Pelodiscus sinensis: one gene and its partner. The protein of the gene in region 2 purifies or fractionates together with the protein of the main gene of each other region. This does not show direct contact. Links are inferred from orthologs where the notes say so. Each region holds a gene or a part of one and is shown on either strand. Other genes may lie near its edges.

Region 1 (10,340 bases), on a different chromosome or scaffold from region 2:
TGTTAACCCGAATTCTTTCTCCTGGCTATAACTGCAATGGTATAGTTATTACAACTGCTATAAATAGGGTTTGACAAACCCCAGCGAGAGTCACTTGCCAGCCCCGTACTGTGCATGCGCCAGACCGGCACTGCGCATGTGCGAAGCGCCGGTGAATGGGGCACTCGGAACGACTGGCTGAAATCTACTCGCCCGTGGTTTGTTGAGCCCTGGCTATAAAGGCCAACCGTGACTATAGAGAAATAGATGTATTCACCATTTTCCTTTTCAGACTGCTTTTTGAGAAGGGGTGGGAGTTTAAAAGAATCACTAGGAAGTATTTTACCCTCTGCCAATGAAAAAACATCAGTGCCACAGGAAAGACTCATTCATCCCCTTGAGTAATTTACACTGAACTTTCCTCATTGAATGCAGGTTCAGTGACCAACAACATACAGAAGTTCTTATTTTTAAGTTTGCTTAACATTTAGAAATAAAAGAAAGATCTGAAAACTTCCCTTTGCCTGTGGAAGGGTAATATTGTACATTAGGGTGGCCATTTTCTGAAGACATCTTGCAAATACAATTGACCCCTTATTTTTTGTTTTGTGTTGCACAGTGAAACTGAGTTTTGATTAAACAGTGGGTTGTACAAAAAGTGTAGACCAACTTTATGAGAAGGGGGGGGGACTGTGGTGGGTTATCAATTTAATCCTAGATTCAAAGAATTCAAATACATAGTGTAAATGAGTAATGACCTTTGGAATTTTTTGTTGTTGTTTGATTAACTAGCTAAGTGCTGTACCACAAAGGTATCCTTGAAAACGCTCTCACATGGCTATGCAAGTTCATGGAAGCACATTCAAAGCTGCTTCCATAAGACCAGCTTTGGAAAAAGTGATTTTTCACAAGAGCAACTATCATTTTACAGACCAAATCAAATATTGCTTTTTTTGAGATGTGTTGGGGGGGAAGAGGAAGGAAAACACAGCACTTTAGTGTTGCTTCCTCTGTTACCAAGGGATGTAAAATTTCAATTATTTGGCCAATCGAATAGTCGAAGCAAATTGCATCAACTATTCAATAAAGTTGATAAAGGCACTTCTGCCTTTAAATTATAGCAGTCCCCCACTGGCCTCACGCTCCCTGTGGCATTTCAAAGCTGACCCTCAGCTCCATGTGGCGCTGCTGCTTTGAAACACCAAAGAGAGCCCAACATCAGGCTCCACAGTGTTTCAAATCAGCAGTGCTATATGAAGTCCAGGGTCAGCGGGAGAGTTCCCAGCTGACCCCAGGCTCCACACGGCGCGACCACTTGGAACCACCTCCTCCTCTATTCCCCCTCTCCCCCGCTGCCTCTTTCTGATAGAGGCAGCAAGAGGGGAGGGGGGAAGTGACTAGTCGACTAGCCTGTCGACTATCGGATAAGCATTTGCTTATAGGATAGTTGACTAGTCGTTCACATCCCTACTGTCACCCTCCAATTCAACAGCAACCCTTTTGCTGGTTAAAGAAGAGTAGCTATACACCCTTACCAGAGGCTACATAGCACAGCCAGAAAAGATATACAAGGCATCTGCCACTCAGGATTTTTCTAGAGATGTAAAAGCACGTGACCTGTGAAAACAAGGTTTTCATTTCCCAAAAAGATTTGGGTTTTACATGTACACAGCTCCACTAGATCATATTTCAAAATTAATGGACAGGAAGCTTTTACTTCGATATAGTTTATCAAAATAAACTAAAGATGGGGGAGAACAGGGGTGACTCCAATGAGCTAACTTGAGGCAAAATTTACAGATGCCTTATCACTACTAGGATTTTACATTGAGATAGCTATTTGCAGTTCAGACAAAGACAGGATTTTTAGTCTATACTAGTCCTGATTTTCACTGGAAAACCTTATATGTGAAGAGCAATGGATGTTGTTTTAGGGCTCAATTCCAAAGCACTAAATTTAATGGGACTACCCAAATGAGAAGTTCAAATCACACAGGTAAAGATGTGCAGACCCAATCTCGTTCACCAATGGAATCCTGGGAAGCAACACAACTAACATTGTACATATTGTTTTGCTAGTTTATCATAAGAACTTATTTCACGTAGAAGTTCTTTTCTGAATTATGATAAATCTATAGCCAGTTCCACTACACGCATGCCTAGAACTGGAGGCTCACTGAGACAAAAATTCTAGATTGAAAAATAATCCATATTAGGCTATCTACCAATCTGTACTCAAAACACTCTTCATTACTATAAAATTGAAACAAAATGCAACACTATTACTAATTTCAAACAAAATGTGTGTGTGTCTGTGTGCGTGTCAAAGTTACTGGAGCATAAAAAGAAAAAAAATCCGTGTTCCAAACTAAAAAAAAGTTACCTAATTGACCTTCTAGAATGCCAAGGGACTATTTAAAACGAATGGAAGCAAATGATCTATAACTGAGCAGAACACTTAGCTTGAGAAAAGCAAGTTAAACTATAAAGAAGTAACTTAAATATGGACAACTCTAATGATGAGGAAAGGAAAGAAAAAAATTAATCAGTTCAGAGTGAGATATGCGCTGAATTAAACAAGCCTTCTGAAAACTATAATCTCTTTCCTAGAATTTGGATCAAAGTTTCCAGAATGAGAGAACTTTTAAAAATACTTAGTGGTAGCAAAAGATGTTGGATTTTCAGCACTAGAAATTTTAAAAGTTTTCCACAGAACACTCTCACCAAGTGCAAACTTCCGCACAACACTTCATGACTGTTCTGCAAGGCCCACAGCTAGAGGCAAGTGTAACTCAATCCTACTGGCTCATTCAGTCTTGGCCTCTGGTGGTTTTAAGAAGTGGACATCTATCCAAAGGGATCGGTAACGAGCCCCATGGAGCAGTGAGGAGCCCTTGGCAATAATAAGTGCACACTAATTACCTAGGTCAGAACTGAACATGTGATCTTGAGCAATGTTTCTCAACCTTTTTTTTTTTTTAATAAAGTACCTCCTTTTTAAAAAAAATTATAATGACCCCCAGGACCTACAGTTTTCAGACACACACAAATTGTTTCTACCATTGCAGCGTATTGGGTTAAACAACTTAATCATAGCTGGGCGTGCAGTGAAATTTTTGGGTGTAAAAAGTACAAATAATAAAGCGCTGTAAAACTTAAGAAAAATTCAGTTTTCTCCAAATTTCAGTTGTGTTGACGTAACCCCCCCAGACTTCTCTCAAATACCCGTAAGGGTACTCATACCACTGGTTGAGAAACACTGATCTAGAGGGTCAATCAATCACCCCTCCAAAGCCATCCAATCTCCCTCCCAACACACAAAAAACAGAGAGATCACACACCTGGCTACTGGACTTCGGCTCACGGACCGCTTGGCAACAAAAGGACTGCTTGAGCGCCTTCGGCTGTACGGGCTGGGTGACCTTCCACTGTACGACCCACTTCCCCTCTCATAACTGGATGAGCGTCTCCTGTTGTACGGGCTGATGGACCTCTGTCTTCGACCATAAGGACTAGGAGATCGAGTGTTGGACTGGTATGCTACGGGTTCCTTGTAGGGTGGGCTGACTGACTGCCTGCGTGATGAGCCACCTGGGCTCTTCTTGTATGAGTCATAGTTGCTGGATGTATGTGACCGTGGAGGGCTAAGATCGTATTCTTGGGTGTAAGATGCTCCCGAAGGGCTGTCATCCTGTTTGGGGCTGTCAGCCCATTTCCTGTGAGGACTCCGGGATTTCCGTTTTGGACTGTCAGTGCTTTTGTAGCTTTTCACAATGTCCCTTTTTCGATGGCTTTTACTGCGGTCTTTGTGCCCAGACTTCAGCTCCCGCTCTTTTCTGGACTTCTCCTTGTGTGCTTTGGCTGACCTGGAGTCCTTGTTGCTGCTTCTTGATGGCTGTGATTTAAAGTGTTCTTCATTCTCCTCATTGAGTCTTTTGGAGGTCCCGGACACTCGGTCCTTGATGGATCCTGACCTGATGGACACCTCCTGAGTCTTTTCCAACTTCTTCTCTTTTTCCACCTGCTTACTCCTGTTCAGCTCCCGAACACGCTTGTGCTGGTGGTGCCGGTGCTTGTGCAACCTGTCACTCCTGTCTGAGCTCCCCTTCCTCTCATCATTCTCCCTCCTTTCCAACTTGAGGGCCACATCATCGGAGAAGGTGTCCGAGTCGGAGCTGATGTCATCATACTCCACCAGTGGCTTGATCATCGCACCCAGCGGCGCCGCCGTCTCTTGAGCCACCAGCGGCGAATCTTTAGAGTGCTTGGACCTGTGCCTCTTGTGTCTGGAGACCAGCCGGTGCCTCTCCTTGCTGTTCGAACTGCCACTGCTGGATGTCTGCTGCTGCAACGACCCCCCTCCTCCTCCATCCTTCTTGCCCCCATGTCTCTCTGGATTTGGCATTCCTTCTCCACTGTGCTTGGAAGAGGGGAGGGGGGAATCCTCCAAAGCCCCCAAACTTTAAACCCCAGGCACCGACACCCCTCCCCCAGCTACAGGCCTCTTTCCGTGGCCTGCCTTTCTCCTCCCACCATTCACAACCACTTCTCCCCCCCCCCTGCGCCTTTCCTCCCTGGTTCTAACTCCCTCCCTCCTTCATGGGGTGCAGCCCTTTGGATCAGGCCCCTGGGGTGGGGGAGGGGGACTTGACCTCACAGGGCCCCTGGGCAGGCAGTTAAAGGGCCTGGAAAGACCCAAGGGGGGGTCTGGGGAAGGGGGGTGGCTGGGGCCTGGAGCGGGCCCCTGGGCCTGGGCAGAGGGTCCCCCGGGCAGGGGCCCCCTGGGTAGATCCCTAGGCCCGGCTCCCTCAGCGGAGAGTCCCCGGCTCCCGCCCCCTCAGCCGCGGCGCGGCGAGTCCCCGGCTCGCGCCCCCTTTGTCCGCCCCGCGCCCGGGGCCGCCTCCCCTCTCACTTCCCAAAGCGAAACGGCCCCGCTTCCAAGGGGGCAGCCGCCAACTCTCGCGACGCTCTCGCGTGACGGCCGAGAGCTTCCCCCTCCCTCTCTCCCCGAGGCAAAGGCCGCGAGACGCTCCGGCCGGGCCCGCGCCAGCCTCGCGAGAGCTCCGCGCGGGGCTGCTCAACAAAACTTTATTGAGCCACCTGGTAACGCGGCCAGAGAAACAAGCAAGCCCAAGGCAACGGCTCTTTTCAACAAAACTTTATTGAGCCGCACTGTGCGGACAGCGCCTCCTTTCCCCCTCCCCCACATACTTTCTTCCCCTGCAAAACTTGATTGAGATGCAGAGTGTGGTCAAATCACCAAGCCCCTGCCCCAGATACTTGTGTGGAGGAGCCTCAGGGCCCCTTCCCAGCTTCAAAGAGAGCCTGAGTGCCATGCAATAGGCCCCACAAAACATGTGAAGCAGCCAGCAGTGCCCTCAAGGCAGTGACATGGGGGTGGGGGTGAGGGTTGGTGCCTCTCTAGGCTCAGTTTCATAGAGAAGCCAGGTGTATAACCCACACTCTCCTGTTCTAAACACTAGACCCTGCTCCTGTTCCATGGCCAAAACAGAACCCAGGAGTCCTAACTCCGTTCATCTGAAGAAATGGGTTGTACCGACAAAAGCTCATGCACTTCAAAGACTAACAAGATGATTTATTAGGTGATGAGCTTTCGTGGGCCAGACCCACTTCCACAGATCAAATCAGATCCACTATTTGATCTGAGGAAGTGGGTCTGGCCCACGAAAGCTCATCACCTAATAAATCATCTTGTTAGTCTTTAAAGTGCTACATAGTCCTGTTTTTTGTTTCATCTACATGTTTTGTTAGTCTTTAAGGTGCTGCAGATAGACTATTCCTTGTTTTTTAAGTTTGTCCCAGTCTTATGATTCTCATCTCCTCTCCTCCCCCCCAACTTTTATTTACTTACCAATTACCATTGCTCAAATTGTCGCTCACTTTATTTACTTACCTCACCTGACTCCACCCAGAAACTGAAGCACCCAAAATCAGCAGCAATGTCTAAAAGTTTGTCCTGCCATTGCTTCAATTGTCACTCACTTTAAAGCAGGTGGTGTAGTTGCAGACCTAGGATATTAGGGAGACAAGGGCTATGTCTTTTGCCCAAAAAAACCTTCTTGCGCAAGAGCCGTCCTTCCTGTTTCTTCAAGTAAGAATGGCTCTTGTACAAGAGGGTTTTTTTGCGCAAAAACGGAGCCTAATTAATTATGCAAATGAGGCGCAGCGATATTCCACGCTTTGCGTCATTTGCATATTTTTTGCACAAAAGGGCTGTGTCTAAAGTGGCCGCTCTTGCGCAAAAACTTGCTGCCTGTCTACACTGGCCTTGTGTTCTTGTGCAAGTAAACTGACGTTCTAATGTATAAAATCAAGTGTTCTTGCGCTAGAACTCTGACACTCCCGCTCAGGAATAAGCCCTCTTGCAAAAGAGCTCTTCCAGAAGAGGCCAGTGTAGACAGGCAACATGAATTTCTTGTGCAAGAAAGCCCTATGGTTAAAATGGCCATCAGAGCTTTCTTGCGCAAGAGACTGTCTACACTGGCATGGATGCTCTTGCGCAAAAGCACATGCCAGTGTAGACGCTCTCTTCTGGAAGAGTTTTTGCAGAAGAACTCTTGCGCAAAAGAGTTTTTGTGCGAGAACGCGCTAGCGTAGACGTAGCCAAGGTGTGTGAGATAATATATGTTATCGGATGAAGTTCTGTCGGGGAGAGAGACAAGCTTTCAAGATAAGAAGAGCTCTTGTTTAAAAGCTTGTCTCTTTTACCTACAGAAGTTGGTGTCCTAAAAGATATGACCTCACAATTACTTTGACTCACTTCAGTGGATATTTTATCTGAGTAAGGACTGAGCAAAAGCTTGGGTGAAGGCATCCAGATTGGACAGATAGTGAATAGTATAGTAAGGGCCTAAAAATGCCTGTTTTAAAATGTTAAATCAAATAGAATAAGCAAGTAAAAACTCCCTCCCCTCCATCTGACAAAAAAAAAAATACTCTCTTGAAGTTTCCATCCCTATCTTATTTGAAAAAGAGACAACAGTAAAAAGGACTGGATTTTGAGATTTGAGAGCCATACATGAAGGATTGCTATGAATGATATAGTAGTGGCCCCAGTAATGCATCATTAAATGTATTGAAAACTGTAAGGTTCAAACAGTCACAGCAGAAGACAGATGTAGGTTTGTATCATGGTCACTTCAGTTCACAGTCTTCAAGGATGGCAAAAGAAATACAAATATTTTGTGGTTTATGGCTGCTTTTGCATCCACCTCCTGCTGCTAAAGGCCACAATTCTGCAATGAGCTCAGTATGGAAAGCAACTTAAGCCCACACAGAGCTCCATTAACTTTACCATTTTAAGGCCAGAAAGGATTATTGTGATCATCTTGTTTGCTTTCCTACTTAACACAGGCCACAGAATTACACTCAGCCAGGAATTACTATATCAAGCCCAATAATTTCTGACTGAAGTAGAGTATATCTTCTAGCGAGACATCCAGTCTTGATGTAAACATTCCAAGAGATGGAGAATCCATTACTCCCCTCAGCAAGCTGTTCCAACTGTTAATACTCCCGACCTTTTCAACCCACACGTTATTAACAAATATGCTTGTAATCTTCCATTTGATTTTGTCTAGCTTACATTTCTAACCTTTGGATCTTTTTGTCTGTTAGATTAAAAACCCTTTATCGTTGGAAATCTTTATTTCAAAACCACAATCAAGTCATCTTCTATCTTCCTTTTTGGGGCTCCTACCACTTGGAGCTCATTGCAGAATCAGGGTCTCAGTAAAAAAGTGGTAAACAGATGACCTTGCACCCTGATTTGATTTCCTATAATGTGTGTTTGTTTCACAGGGAGTTCTGTGATTGATTAAGAAATTGTAATGAGCTGATTGGCACACAGAAGTATTTAACACAGTTTTCCTACTGTAAGGAATCAGAACTGTACATCAGAGGCCCTATACTGCTAACAGCTGAAGGAAACTGTCCTTTAGTGCTTTCTGGAGCGGAAGGATACAAGTTGCATCTCCACACCTCTCATGAATTTCAGAATGATTGTTTTGTTTAAAAAAAATGACAACCATTATAGTTCTAGGTAGCATTTCTCCCCATTTATATTGCAATAGAAGACTTACCCAGCATTGCTCAGCTCCTTAATTTATGTTTTTGTTTAATGAAAATGTGCATGCTTCATCTGAATCATTGTTTTGGGGGTGGGGCTAGGGATGAGGGGTTCAGTTTGCAGGCTGCCCTGGGGAAAGAGGACAACCCCAGCTCTCTCTCACCACAACAGATTGGAGCCACATGAGAAGTACCTCTCCATGTCCACTGCAATTCCAGCGGGCACAGCTGGGGGAGGGGTATAGATGGGACTGGTGCAGGTTCATCTGTCCCCTGTGCTCTCCAGGCATAGTGAGGAAAGCAGCAAACTGTGCACTTCCCTGTCACTCCCTGACATAGGGGAACAGCCAACTGTGTCCTGTACAAATTGGGAGAGGGGAATTTGAGCCCTCCCTAACAAGGCCCTGTGGGGGTGGGCGCCTCAGGGCTGTGGCAGTCTCATATGAGGGGGGCACACCCCTCGCCAGCTGCTTTCATCTGCCTGGTGATTCTGTCTCTTTTCTGTTTGGTTTGGTGAGAAGCAATCCCATTCCAGGCATATCCTATTTTCCTGGCATAACCAAACCTTTATCTTCCTTTAAACTCTCTTGGGCTACGTTTACACTCACGGCTTCTTGCGCCAGAAATATGCAAATGAGGCTAAGCGTGGAATATCGCTGAGCCTCATTTGCATACCTAATGAGCCGCCATTTTTGCAGAAGAGGCTCTTGCGCCGGAAGGAGCTGTCTACACTGTCCTTTCTTGCGCAACACAAACCCTCTTGCACAATGCCGTTATGCCGATTACTTTTCAGGAAGAACGGCATTGCGCAAGAGGGTTTTTCTTAGCCAGATTCTGGCTAAGAAGCTGCGAGTGTAGACATAGCCCAAGAGAGTTTAAAGGAACATAAAGGTTTGGTTGTGCCAGGAAAATAGGATATGCCTGGAATGGAATTGCTTCTCACCAAACCAAACAGAAAAGAGACAGAATCTGGCTAAGAAAAACCCTCTTGCGCAATGCCGTTCTTCCTGAAAAGTAATCGGCGTAACGGCATTGCTCAAGAGGGTTTTTGTTGCGCAAGAAGGAGCAGTGTAGACAGCTCCTTCTGGCACAAGAGCCTCTTCTGCTAAAATAGCGGCTCATTAGGTACGCAAATGAGGCTCTGCAATAGTCCATGCTTAGCCTCATTTGCATATTTCTGGCGCAAGACACCGCGAGTGTAGACAGCCTTGGATATGTAGTAAATCAGCAAATCTACTGCTTTATTGGGACAAATTTCCCTTACTTTTTTGGTTAAATATTCATGTATTTGTATTCACTACCTCACTTGGACATGTGATCAGGCCCAGCCAATGAGTTTGCAGAGCCCAAGGCAGCATGTTGTGGTTAGCTGCACCACATGGCCAGGCAACTCCCAGCAAGGGAAGCAAGCAAGTAGGAGGGTGCCAGGCAGTGCAGGGACTTAACAGCACAGGGCCCAATGCAGCCTCCTTGCTCACTTTGCCCTAAGTCCAGGCGTGTATGTGATGATAAGTCATTGTAGGGTTGCCAAGTGTCCGGTTTTCTACCGGACAGTCCGGTATTTGCGCCCTCTGTCCGGTAGAAAAATTCAGAAAATACTGGAAATGTGTAATGTCCGGTATTTTCTGATTTTTCAGCTGGGCACTGGACGGAAGCCTGGCGGGGGCGGGGGAGCGACTGGGAGGCGGGGCCGCGATTGGCGCTGGGAGCCCTGTGGTTGTGTGCAAAAGCCAGGTGGGGCGGGGCGGGGCAGGGGCAGTGGCCCGGACTCCCAGCCGCTCCCCCTGCTGGCTTCTGTGCACAACTAGAGGCTCCCAGCGCCATTTGCGGTCCAGCCTCCCAGCTGGGAGCTTCTGGTTGCATGCAGAAGCCCGACGGGGGAACAGCTCCCAGCCACTCCCCCTGCCCCCACCCGGCTTCTACTAGAAAATAGAGGGAGTGCCTGCCGGGAGTGCAGACTGTTGGACTGCAGCTGCAGCCAGTGGCTGCACCCCCCTGCCAGCTTTGCTCCTCCCCCTCCTCTGGCCGCCCATCCTCCCATCCAGCCCCCGCAGCCCCCGATCCCCCCCAGTTCTGCTTCCCGTCCCCCCTCCCTCCTTTTCCATCCCCCTGGCCCCCAATCCTCCTCCCAGCTCTGCTTCCCGCCCCCCTTCCTCCCAGCCTGCCCCACCTCCCCTGCCCAAGATCAAGTGTGTCTGGTATTTTGGGGGGGGAGGGGGAATCTACCTGGTAACCCTAGTCATATGTATCTTGTGCAACTGCCACAGGGTAGA
Region 2 (10,935 bases):
CTGACAGGCCACTTTTTCTCCTTTATGTTGTCATTTTATCAGTTAAGATACAGGATGAACGTTTCTGGTCCAGCATTCTCTTGTCCACCAACATCTGTGGTCCGGCATGAATTTAGCTAGCCAGATGTCCATTTATCATGGGTGTGACCAAGTTTCCCATGGTCCCATAAAATTTGTTTACAGCCACCAGTCCTGGCTCTCAGTGTTCTGTGCAGTTGTTTAGCTTTAATTTACCCCTGTCTTCTTAGAGCCCAGTAAGCATTGTAAGTGTTGGTAATGGAAATCCCATTGACTATTTGATTAGTTAATCTAAATTTAACATCCCTATGGTAAACCTCACCCTTAATGGTTAACCAGTTAATTATTCATGGCCCTCGTCAGGTCCCTACGGTGCCAGATTAGAGAGGTTCAAGCTGTATTTGATTAGCGAGGTTCAACCTGTATTTCATTTGGTGCGTAAACTAGGACTTAATTAACAGAAGAAAATGTTCAAGTAGAACATTAAACATCAAAAATATTTAATTTAAAAATTTTAGTGATGCTTTGGAAATAAGACTATACTTTGCAAATTAATCAAACAAACAAACAATAACCCTCTTTGTATACTTTTTTGAGACTTTCTAATTGATAATGCTACAAGCATATGCTAAAAATATCAACTCAAAAGGATACAGTCCTAGACGTGTTCCTACATCAAATATGAATCTGGCTCCTTCTCGGCGGTATCGTGCCTCAGTAGCTGGATCAAGTCCTTCTAACTGTGATGGTGTATGTGCCAGATCTTTTTTATCCCAGTACCAACATGGTTTTGTGTGGTCCAGGTTTGCCAAATTTACAGAAGGGCTGGAATTTTCTTTATTCTCCTTCATTTATTGAAGTACAATCGTTCCTGCTTGATACGTTTTCAGACAATGGATTTTCAGACAGCAGCTTCAAAATAATAAAAAAAATATAATCAGAAAAAACTGCAATAAACCATCATTTTTCATCCTGAGATAAGTGATATTTTCACTATGCATACATACGCTAGACAAGTCACAAGGCAGAATGAAAAGATACCCGAAAGAAGGGAAACCATTTTAAATTGTTAATTAATTGCTGCATAAAGACGATGCAAAAAGTTTATTTGGTAAGATATTTCATTTGTGAGAAGTTCAGGTTTCATATACACTGTATTTCCCTAGCCTGCAGGCAAATGGAAAATTAAAAGAATGTATAAATGCAAAATTAGCAAAACTTGGGCAAGTAAGTTACTGTACAATATTTGCTCACTTGAGCTAGGGCAGGAATGGGCAATAATTTTTGAAGGGGGGGGCACTTCAAAAAATGTTTAAGTGGTTGTGGGCCAAAGGGGGTGGGGCCTCGGGCAGATGCGGCAGTGCCTTTAAATAGAAGCAGTTGAAAGGGCTCAGAGGTCCCAGCCCCACCCCTAACGCATTGCCTGGTAGCCACAGGAAAGGCACAAGCCCTTTAAATAGAAGCAGTTGAAAGGGCACCTCCAGTTCCCAGACAATGCATCATGGGGCAGGGCCAGGAACTGCCACATGGCCAGATAAAAGGGCTAGGCAGGACAGATTTGGCCTGCTAACAGTCTCTCACCCAGCCCTGATCTAGTGTGTATGCCATGACAGCTTGGCCAGGTTTGCAATCTAGGGGTCCAACTGGATTCCTAGATGCCACAGGAAGATCAGATAACTGATCTGGTGGTTGCTGCTTTCTAATCATTTTCACATATGGATCTTGCCTCATTTACATTTTTGTCATCTCAAAGTTAAGATTACTAAAATGCACTCCATATGGGACCATGTCTTAAAACCACCAACAAACAAGATATTGTGCAGAATGTGGTAGCACACTGAGAAAGCAAGGTATGTTCCTACAAGCAAATTAAATCAGTGCTTCAGTTTCCAATGGATTCCTGTGAATTTCTAGGTAAATTAGAGGGTTAGCAGAAGCTCCCTCCTCCATGAACTTTCTGTCAAATTACAGATACTGTGCCTTCATTGTTCTTGATTCACCTCTCTTTTACAGTGTCTCCAGGCACCAATTATGATTACTCTGCAGACCCAGCTGAGTTTGGCCATCTATATGTATTCATTGCAACCTATTTCTCTCTCCGCAGGAATGCAGCAATCAGAGAAAAATGTTAAAACAAGAACAGGCCTACATGCATAAAGGTCTTACAAACGTAAGACTTACTTCTCAGTCTCAGGGAATCAAGTGAGCATATCTCCAGACTGTTTGTTTTTTCCTAAATGTCAGTGTCTTTTCAAAACCAGCCCAGTCCAGTCACTTGCTGGTGCTGGGTCAGAGTCATGACCCCTCTTCCCCATACAGACAACCCTGTGCATCAAGACACTTTCCCTTCCAATACCCAGACTCTCCTCTGCCAAGCCTTAGCTTCTACATTTGGAGTCCCCCCACACTGAGTACTACCTTATGTAGTCAGACTCCCGTGCCAAGCCCCACTGCCTCCGGTATCTGGACTGTGGGTATTCCTGTATCCAGACTACCCCGTGCAACCCCTTCACTTGAACTCTCAGTCCAATGAACCCCACTTCCTATGCATATGAACCACCCCACAAGCCTCTTGCACCCAGACCAGGTCTGCAACCAGCTGCACCTGGACTCCCACCGTGCCAATCCACACTCTCCCAATATCTGGACACCTCTGCTAAATTTCCAACACCCAGAATCCGCTTCTTAGCCCCAATCATCTTCATCTGGATCCCCTTGCAAAGTTCCTATGCCCCTGCAACTGGACTAGGGATGTTAAATATCGGTTAGTTGAACAGTCTATTAAATTCATGAATTCTTATCAGTTACTCAACTAGTCTATAGTCCCCGGAAGTGGGGCCGGGGCAGCAGTGCGGGGACTATAGAAGCCCCAGAGTTGGGACCAAGGCAGCAGTGCAGGAGCACCAGGTGGGAGCTGGTCCATGAGGTGAGCCAGTTTAGAAACCATCTCCCCTCCTGGCCCAGCTGCCTTTCACCCTGCGCTGCTACCTCTGATACAGAGGCAACAGTCCCTGTCCAGGGGATCACTGAGCTCCTGGACGCAGCATGAGCCAAAACTGAGCCGGGATGCCTGCCCACCCAGCTCCTGATACACTTTTAATGCAGAGCCGCAAGAGGGGTAGGTCCCAGACCCAGTGTGAGCCAGGATTGAGCCAGGTTGCTGGCCAGCCTGCTAAAAAATTTACTGGCCGGGTGGCGGGAATGCAAGGGGCCTATAGCATTAACCTATAAACTTTTGCTTATTGGTTAATTGACTACACTATTACAGCCCTAAACTGGACCCCACTGTGCATACAGATCTTCTGCATACCTGGACTCCCCCCTCAACTAAGCTGCCTACACCCAAAATCCTCTTTTCCCACACCTGAACCTCTCCACATCAAGCCTCTGCACACTTGGATCCCACTGTTCTGCATCTGCCCTTGCATAGCTGGTGCACCTGATGCAGAGGGCCAGGACCCCAGGGTGTTTTGGGGGCAGAGTTGGACTTTGTGTTTTGTCAAGGTTGGGTGCAGCTTCACCACAGTGTTGTGGGAAAAGGGAGCAGTAGGGTGATCTCCAGCCTCTGTACAGCTACTGGGCTATGTTTTCCACTACCGTGTTGGAGACTCCACATTTATAGACAAAACCTGCAGAATTTTAAAATATTGAGTACAGCATTTTTTTTGTATGGAATTCCCTCCTTTGTTTCAAGAGGTTTCTCATCAAAACCAAAACAGACAAAAGTCGGTAATTGGAATACTTTAAGAACATTAAACTAACAGCTTTATTTTTAAAAGTCTCTTCTTACATCACAAAAACAACAACGACTAGCAGGCACCACGAGCTCATTCCTTACCTCCCCAATACAGCACTTTCACAAACAAGCTAGTTTACAGTGAAACTTTTCTTAGGAAAGATCACACTACCACCTGCCCCACATACAGCAAATACTGATTTAATCCAACGTACGGTCTCGACTAGCCTTTTCCTACGTGTAACGCAGTTAGCAGAGTTGAACCGAAGGACAAATTTTACGTTTTTATGACACCAATCTTCCGGGGGATGGGGGAGAAGGGGCGGGCTACTGCCCAGACTGAAGACTGGAGAAACAACGCGCGAAGGTCGAGTGGCCCGATAGCCATGTTTGGCACCCTATTCTCACACGGACCCTCCCCAGCGCCAGGGCCCTCAAGGACACTCGGCTCTCAACCACTCCGAATCAGCCCCACGGCTACGCCCACCCCCCGCCTCAAATCTCCCGCTGCCTCAGGACCGGGATCTCAATTTACACCTCCCTCTTCAGCCGCCTGGCCACAGCACCCCCCGGCACGATCGCAACCCCTTCTCCTCAGCGTCCCGACCCTCGCTCAGCACCCAGAAGTCCCGTACCACGGCATCCCGCTCCTCGCGCATACCTACCCCAGAGCCCCATGTCACCTCCGCCCCATCCCACTCTGTACGCGGTCACACTCCCACCGAGAGACACTCACAAATCAAGCGCGCGAACCCCCCGCAGCACTGCGAGGCCACTAACGACAACACCTTCGCTCCCTGCGCGGCGCCATTTTGGGAATCGGACCAAGGCGTTGCGTTCCGTCGCTGCGTTAGCGTCGCGAGGGCACGGCGCCCACGTTCCAGCCGACCAATGAGGATCCTAGCCACAGCGCTAACTTCCACCCTTCCCCATCACACGCACACTAGAACAGGTTTGCGCGCACCCTACCGTGGCTGTGTCGAGGAAGACCAATCAGGTACTCGAATCGAGAGGATTGTAGGCCTCTTCAACCAATAGGAATCGAAAGTGGTAGGGTGAATTTTCGCCAATCGGGAGTAGCCACACCCCTTGTCCCTGTTTCCGCCACTCCCAGTGGGTGAGCGACAGGGGCGGCGGGGAAGGGGCGGCCTATGAGATGCCTTGGCTGTGGCAGAGCTGGGGGCGGGCCCTTTGTGTGGGTAAGGCTCAGCCAATGGAGGTAGCGGGGTGGAATCAGTGGGCGGGCCGGGCGTTGGGAGTGTGGGGCTCGGGTTAGCTCGGCCGCCACCTCCCCCTTTCCCGGGCAGCGGACGGTGTCCGGTGAGAGAAACGCGGGCGGCTGCGCGCCGTTTCCAAGAGAAGGAGCCGTCGCGGTCGTGCGGAAGGTAGGGAGCCACCGGCCGTTCCGGCCTCTTCTTTTGGGGGGGGGCAGTCCTCTCACGCGCTGGCGGGTTTGGGGCGCTACCCCCTCCCATCATCTGTGTCCCGCAGGGGCCACCCCCAGCAGCTCTCGGTGAACCCATCCGCTCCGCGCCCGCCCAGGCCTCGCCACCCCGTGTCCTCCGGCACAACTCTGACCTCGCTCCACCCCTCAGCGGCCGCCCCCGTCTCTCCTAGTGCTGCTGCGGATGCTGCAGCACCCCCTGGTTTGAAGTGGTTTCCATTATATCCAGGGCTTGCAGTTTGCCTCAGTGGGTCTGAGCCCCTCCACTACAGAAATTGTTCCTGCGCCCCTGCGTGTTATCTTTCCCTCCCTTTAGGGTGCGGGAGCAGCTTCACCGCCTGAACTTTCACCATCCAGTCTCCTATGCTGGGAGCATCCCATTCCTAGCAGCCTGCTCTTCTGGTACTGAAAACCTGCCTCCCACTTGTTATCCTGCTGGCATAAGTCGTGGTCCTTCTTCCCACCCACCCTGCCTTCCTCTTCTTGTCTGTGCCTGACACCCACTTGTAGCTTCTCCCTTCTCATCTTTCCTATTAACATCAGATTTCTCCTGGGGGAGCTGCAATCCTCAGTCCCTCACCCACCACTCCACCCCTTACTCTTATGGGTATCACCACACTTCTCTGTTTCTCATTTTGCTTCTTCTCCTGTGCATCCCACTCACTGTCCTTTTGGTAAAAGAAAACACTCATTTCACTGACTGAGATAGGGGAGAAGAGAAGGTGGGATGACAGTACTTCATCACATGTACTTCAGCTCTCCCACTTGCTGCTTGTCTATTTTCCACTCACTGTCTTGCCAGGGCAGGAGAGAAAAACATTACACCCCACACCTACCTGCTACTCCCTGTCCTGCAGTTATGTGTGAGTATTTTGTTTTAATCCCTGTGTATATGCTCTCAAGGTATGACATTTTCTTCACTTTTATGAAAACTGGGGGCAGTTACATCAACTTCCTCTTCTTGTTCCTCCCTCCAAAAAGTGATAGCAAGGGTGGAATGAAAGTAAACAAAATGCTTAACTTGACTTCTCCCTGATGTTTTGATGAATGCTTTGATCAGAGTTCACATTTAAAAAAAAAAAGAGTTTAAATCAACTCCCCTTACCTCTTTGCCTTCCATAATTCTCCCATACTTCAATTTTTCTGGATCCAGCTCTGTTTCTGCTGGTATGTGGGAGTCTCTTGCTTCATAGAGAGGTGAGCAGGAGGAGGCTTAGATTCAATTATCAATAATATAACATTGGTTTGTATTGTTTTAAGCACTCCTTTTGTTTTCTCTTCTGCCATCTTTTTTGACTTTTTATGGGGTTTTTGTATTTTATTTTTTTGTGTGTGGCAGAATTAAGCCCAGCAGCTTAAAATACACTGAATGATTTAAGTATCTTTTGAATTGATTGATTTGCAGGGGTATTACATCTTCATGGGCCTGTGTGTTGCAACCTGCTTAAATCAGTACTGAAGCTGCTACTGATATTGATGCCATGGTGAAGCTGTTTCTACAACTTCCTTTCCTGCTCAAAGAGGATTAGTTTAGACTATAAAATACAGGCAGTCCCCAGGTTACATGGATCCGACTTACATCGGATCCCTACTTACAAACGGGGTGAGGCAACCCTGCACTAGCTGCTTCCCCCCAGCAGACCAGGGAGACGCGAAGCTAGCGTCCCCCCCCGCCCCCCCCCCCCCGCCACCCAGCAGACCAGGGAGACGCGGAGCAGCTTTTCTCAGCAGACACCTCAGCTTGAGAATAAAGGACTGAGGGAAGTGAGATGTGGGAGAATAAAACTGAGCTCTGGAGAAATATTTGGCTAGAGTTTCCCCTACAATATGTACCAGTTCCGACTTACATACAAATTCAACTTAAGAACAAACCTACAGTCCCTATCTTGTACGTAACCCGGGGACTGCCTGTACCATTTAAGAAATACAAAGATGAATTCATACCACTATTATCTCTTCCAGAGTAAAATGGCAGACTCTGCTCTTCACAAATATACCATTTTACATGTGAAATAAACACATCTTTCCCCTCTTCTGCTCCCAAGATTATGATGATTAGTCCACATTTCAGAATGATAACTTGACTTAGCCTTCAGTTATTGACAAGGAAAGGGAAGGAGCATTTTTCCTCATTAAGGTCACCTAGTAGAGAAATGTGTATTTTTACAGAGAAGCAGTTTTACTAATGTGTGGTTTTTGTTGTTGTTGTTGTTGTGTTTTTTTTTTTTTTTTAAGAAAAATACTTAAAATTTATTGTGCTATATACTAAATATATTTTAGGTTTTTTTTTAATAAAAACATAATATAAAGAAGCTACTGTAGGTATCTGGATGAATGATGTTTCAGATATTATCCATACATCTGGCTTCCAATTTAAACTAGTCATCCATTCAGCAAACTACAAATACACAAATGATGTGTCTTTAAGGGTGTGTTTTATCAGTCATGTTAGCTTAGTTGCGTTAATGTAACATGACAACTTCAGACATGCTCGCCTGCATTTTAACAGGGCTTTTCAATTGTGTTAATTGGATTCAGCTAACACAATTGAAAAACATACCCTGTTGCCTGTCAAAGCAGAGCCAGAGATAGCTTTAGGATTTCAGCCAAAATGTAAGCATGTAGAATCAAAATACTGGCATATCCAAGTAAAGGTGAACTGAGCTGCAGACTGGATGCAGATCTGAATTTTCCAAATTTCTTTCTAGTCACGAATACTATATTTATGTGAACCAAAAGGAAAAAACATATATTGTCTGTCTGTATATATGAGACGAATGCATCTTTATTGGCAGCACTGTTTAGTATTTGTTTGGTGAAAGAATATGCAATTGGAATTATGAAATATTCCCTACTAGATCCATGGTATAGAATTCACAGAATTGTACATTTAAAACAGATTTTAAACCAATTAAATATTAAGCTTTACACTGTTGCTTATTTAGGCTTGTTCCACTGTTGTTAAAAAAGTGATGTCAAGGAGCCAGATTTAGTTTACACAGGCAGTGTTCATTTTTGCATATAATACATTAAAATTTTCATACATTTATAGTTGTTTAAACTATTCGATCAGGATGTGATTTTACTCTAGTTGAGTTTGAGTTAAGGTTATATCTGTGTTTGGATGATTGAGATGTATATATTGTGGGTAATTGTATTTTGGAAGTGGTAGATAGACTGTGGATAGAAGGTGCATTTTGTATAATGGCAGGTAGGCACTATACAGGCAGTCCCCGGGTTACGTACAAGATAGGGACTGTAGGTTTGTTCTTAAGCTGAATCTGTATGTAAGTCGGAACTGGCGTCAGCCGCTGCTGAAACTGATCAGTTTCAACAGCGGCTGAATCTGGACGCCAGTTCTGACTTACATACGGATTCAGCTTAAGAAACCCAGGCGTCCCCATGTCAGCTGCTGCTGAAACTGATCAGCGGCTGATTCCAGGAAGCCCGGGGCAGAGCAACTCTGCCTCGGGCTTCCTGTAGTCAGCCCCTGGTCAGTTTCAGCAGCGGCTGACTTGGGAACGCCTGGGGCAGAGCAGCTGGGGTGCTGCTGGGTTGCTCCAGTAGTGCAGCCGCTCCTTGGCGCTACTGGACCAACCCAGCAGCACCTCAGCTGCTCTGCCCCAGGCGTCCTGATTCAGCCACTGCTGAAACTGACCAGCAGCGGCTGAATCAGGATGCCTGGGGCAGAGCAGCTGGGGTGCTGCCGGGTTGGTACAGTAGCGCCGAGGAGCGGCGCTGCGGGACCAGCCCGGCAGCGCCTCAGCTGCTCTACCCCAGGCGTAGGCAAGAAAAGCCTGGTCGGGTGGGGTAGGGGGGGCACTAGCTGCACCCCCCCCCCCCCAGCAGACCAGGGAGACGCGGGTGGCGGGACTGCCCGCGTCCTCCACGGCTTTGCTCCCCGTCTCCCTGCAGACCAGGGTGATGCAGAGCAAAGCCTTGGAGCACGCCCTCAGCGAGACAGCCCAGGCGCGCCCGGGCTATCCCGCTGCGGGCTTTGCTCCTGTCCCCCTGGTCTGCTGGGGGGGGGTCCAGCAAAGCCGCTGGACCCCTCCCCCCAGCAGACCAGGGACACCTGAGCAAAGCCCCCGGCTGGGCGGCTTTGCTCATTTGCCCAGGAGCAAAGCCGCCCAGGCGGGGGCTTTGCTCAGGTGTCCCTGGTCTGTTGGGGAGGGGTCCAGCGGCTTTGCTGGACCCCCCCCCAGCAGACCAGGGAGACCGGGAGAAGCTTTTCTCGCCCTGGAGGACACGTGTGGCGACTCGCCACCCGTGAGCTCCGGGGTGAGAAAAGCGCCGTTCGTAAGTGCGGATCTGACATAAGTCGGATCCGCGTAAGTTGGGGACTGCCTGTATACCAAAACATTGTAATGGCTAATGGTGGCAGGCAACATGATCCAGTGGATTGGGTCTTGGGAGTCAGAGACCTTGGTTATATAGCCAGCTGCACTGCTGACCAGCTGCATGAGCTTTGGTAAATCACTTAATTTCATTTTACAGGTGCAGAGACTGAGGCAGAGAGAGGAAATGATACATATCTTCATTTATAAATGATTGAAGAAAAAAGTGTGATGACCCAGCTAGGTGATGCTGTTAGGAAAGACAAACTAAGACAAAAGAGAGAACTTTAAATGTTTAGCCTTTTTGAGCTTGTACATAGTTTGCGGTTAATACCGAATGTGGTGTTTATGTTAAGAACAAAATATTACACGATACTGTGCCACTTGAGAGAAGAATCAACTTTACTTTTCCTTCGCATAAGTTTAACTCCACTCTTGCTGTCCTGTTCTTTGCTTCTCTTCAGCTTGAACTGTTCCCGTGTTCCCATGGCTGTACCTCTTTCGCAGAGTTTATCCACAAGCAGAGTTTCTTAACCTAAATGGCCCTTACTTGTCCGTTAGGCAACTTTGAACTGAATTTGTCCAATAGATGTTCAGTCACTCTCTGTTCATATGATCTAGGTCCTCTGTTGGTAAGCTTTTTTTTTTTTTTTGCTTCCAGAATCTTTTTGCATCTTTTTAATCAATTCCTTTTTTCAACAGTTATATTTCCTTTCAGTTTTTGTCCTTGATGCTTGTTCTCTGGTAAGTCTGTAGTTTTTCCCTTCTGTCTGTTCATGTCTAGTGTTCTCCCGCCCCCTTTGCCCTGACCTGAAACCTTTCCTGTTCCTTGACAAATGGAAAACAGCTAAAACACAACTTCTTTTATCCTCTCTCTGCCTCCCCCCCAAAAAGCTGGCACATCAATTTAGGAAAAAAACCCAAAACATTATTTTTCCCTAATATTGATTAATGCAGTGTTGTCTTCCTGAGTGGCATCTGGGGATAGCATCTTGTAGAAAATGCCAGTATTGTAGGAATCAAGAGGTATTGCTTTAGACATGGCTGGTTCTCCTCACTCGCCAATGTTTCAAAGAGTTTTGTGGTTTAAAATGTGTGGTAAACTTCTTAAGCCTTGACCAAGATGCTAGATTTGCCAGTATTTCTATCCTATCAATGAATACAATCAGACTTCATTAATCTTAGAATGCCAGATTTCTTTATTAGTGATGTTACTGTGGGCTCTTTGAGGGAAAACTTACGGGTATTTTGTACATAGCAAGTCAGAGTATTGTCAAGACACCTTTCTGCTTCATTACAATTGGCCTATGTTCTGCTAATCAAATACCTTTTGAGGCCCAATTATTGGGAACTATAATTGTCGTATTGAGACGGGATTATTCTGTTTGGTAAAAGCCAGG

Evidence for each region.
Region 1: the proteins of CCNK (region 2) and CDK12 purify together in Homo sapiens (affinity purification with mass spectrometry; 6 studies listed by BioGRID and IntAct, with this or other methods). This does not show direct contact. The link is inferred for Pelodiscus sinensis from reciprocal best matches to the Homo sapiens genes CCNK and CDK12.

The regions. Positions count from the first base shown.
Region 1 is NC_134739.1:11,876,046-11,886,385, forward strand, and holds the start of CDK12 (cyclin-dependent kinase 12), read right to left. Parts: upstream 4,985-10,340; 5' UTR 4,385-4,984; coding exon 3,321-4,384; intron 1-3,320. UniProt on the Homo sapiens protein: Cyclin-dependent kinase that phosphorylates the C-terminal domain (CTD) of the large subunit of RNA polymerase II (POLR2A), thereby acting as a key regulator of transcription elongation.
Region 2 is NC_134714.1:24,955,241-24,966,175, forward strand, and holds the start of CCNK (cyclin-K), read right to left. Parts: upstream 4,660-10,935; 5' UTR 4,420-4,659; intron 931-4,419; 5' UTR 870-930; coding exon 673-869; intron 1-672. UniProt on the Homo sapiens protein: Regulatory subunit of cyclin-dependent kinases that mediates activation of target kinases.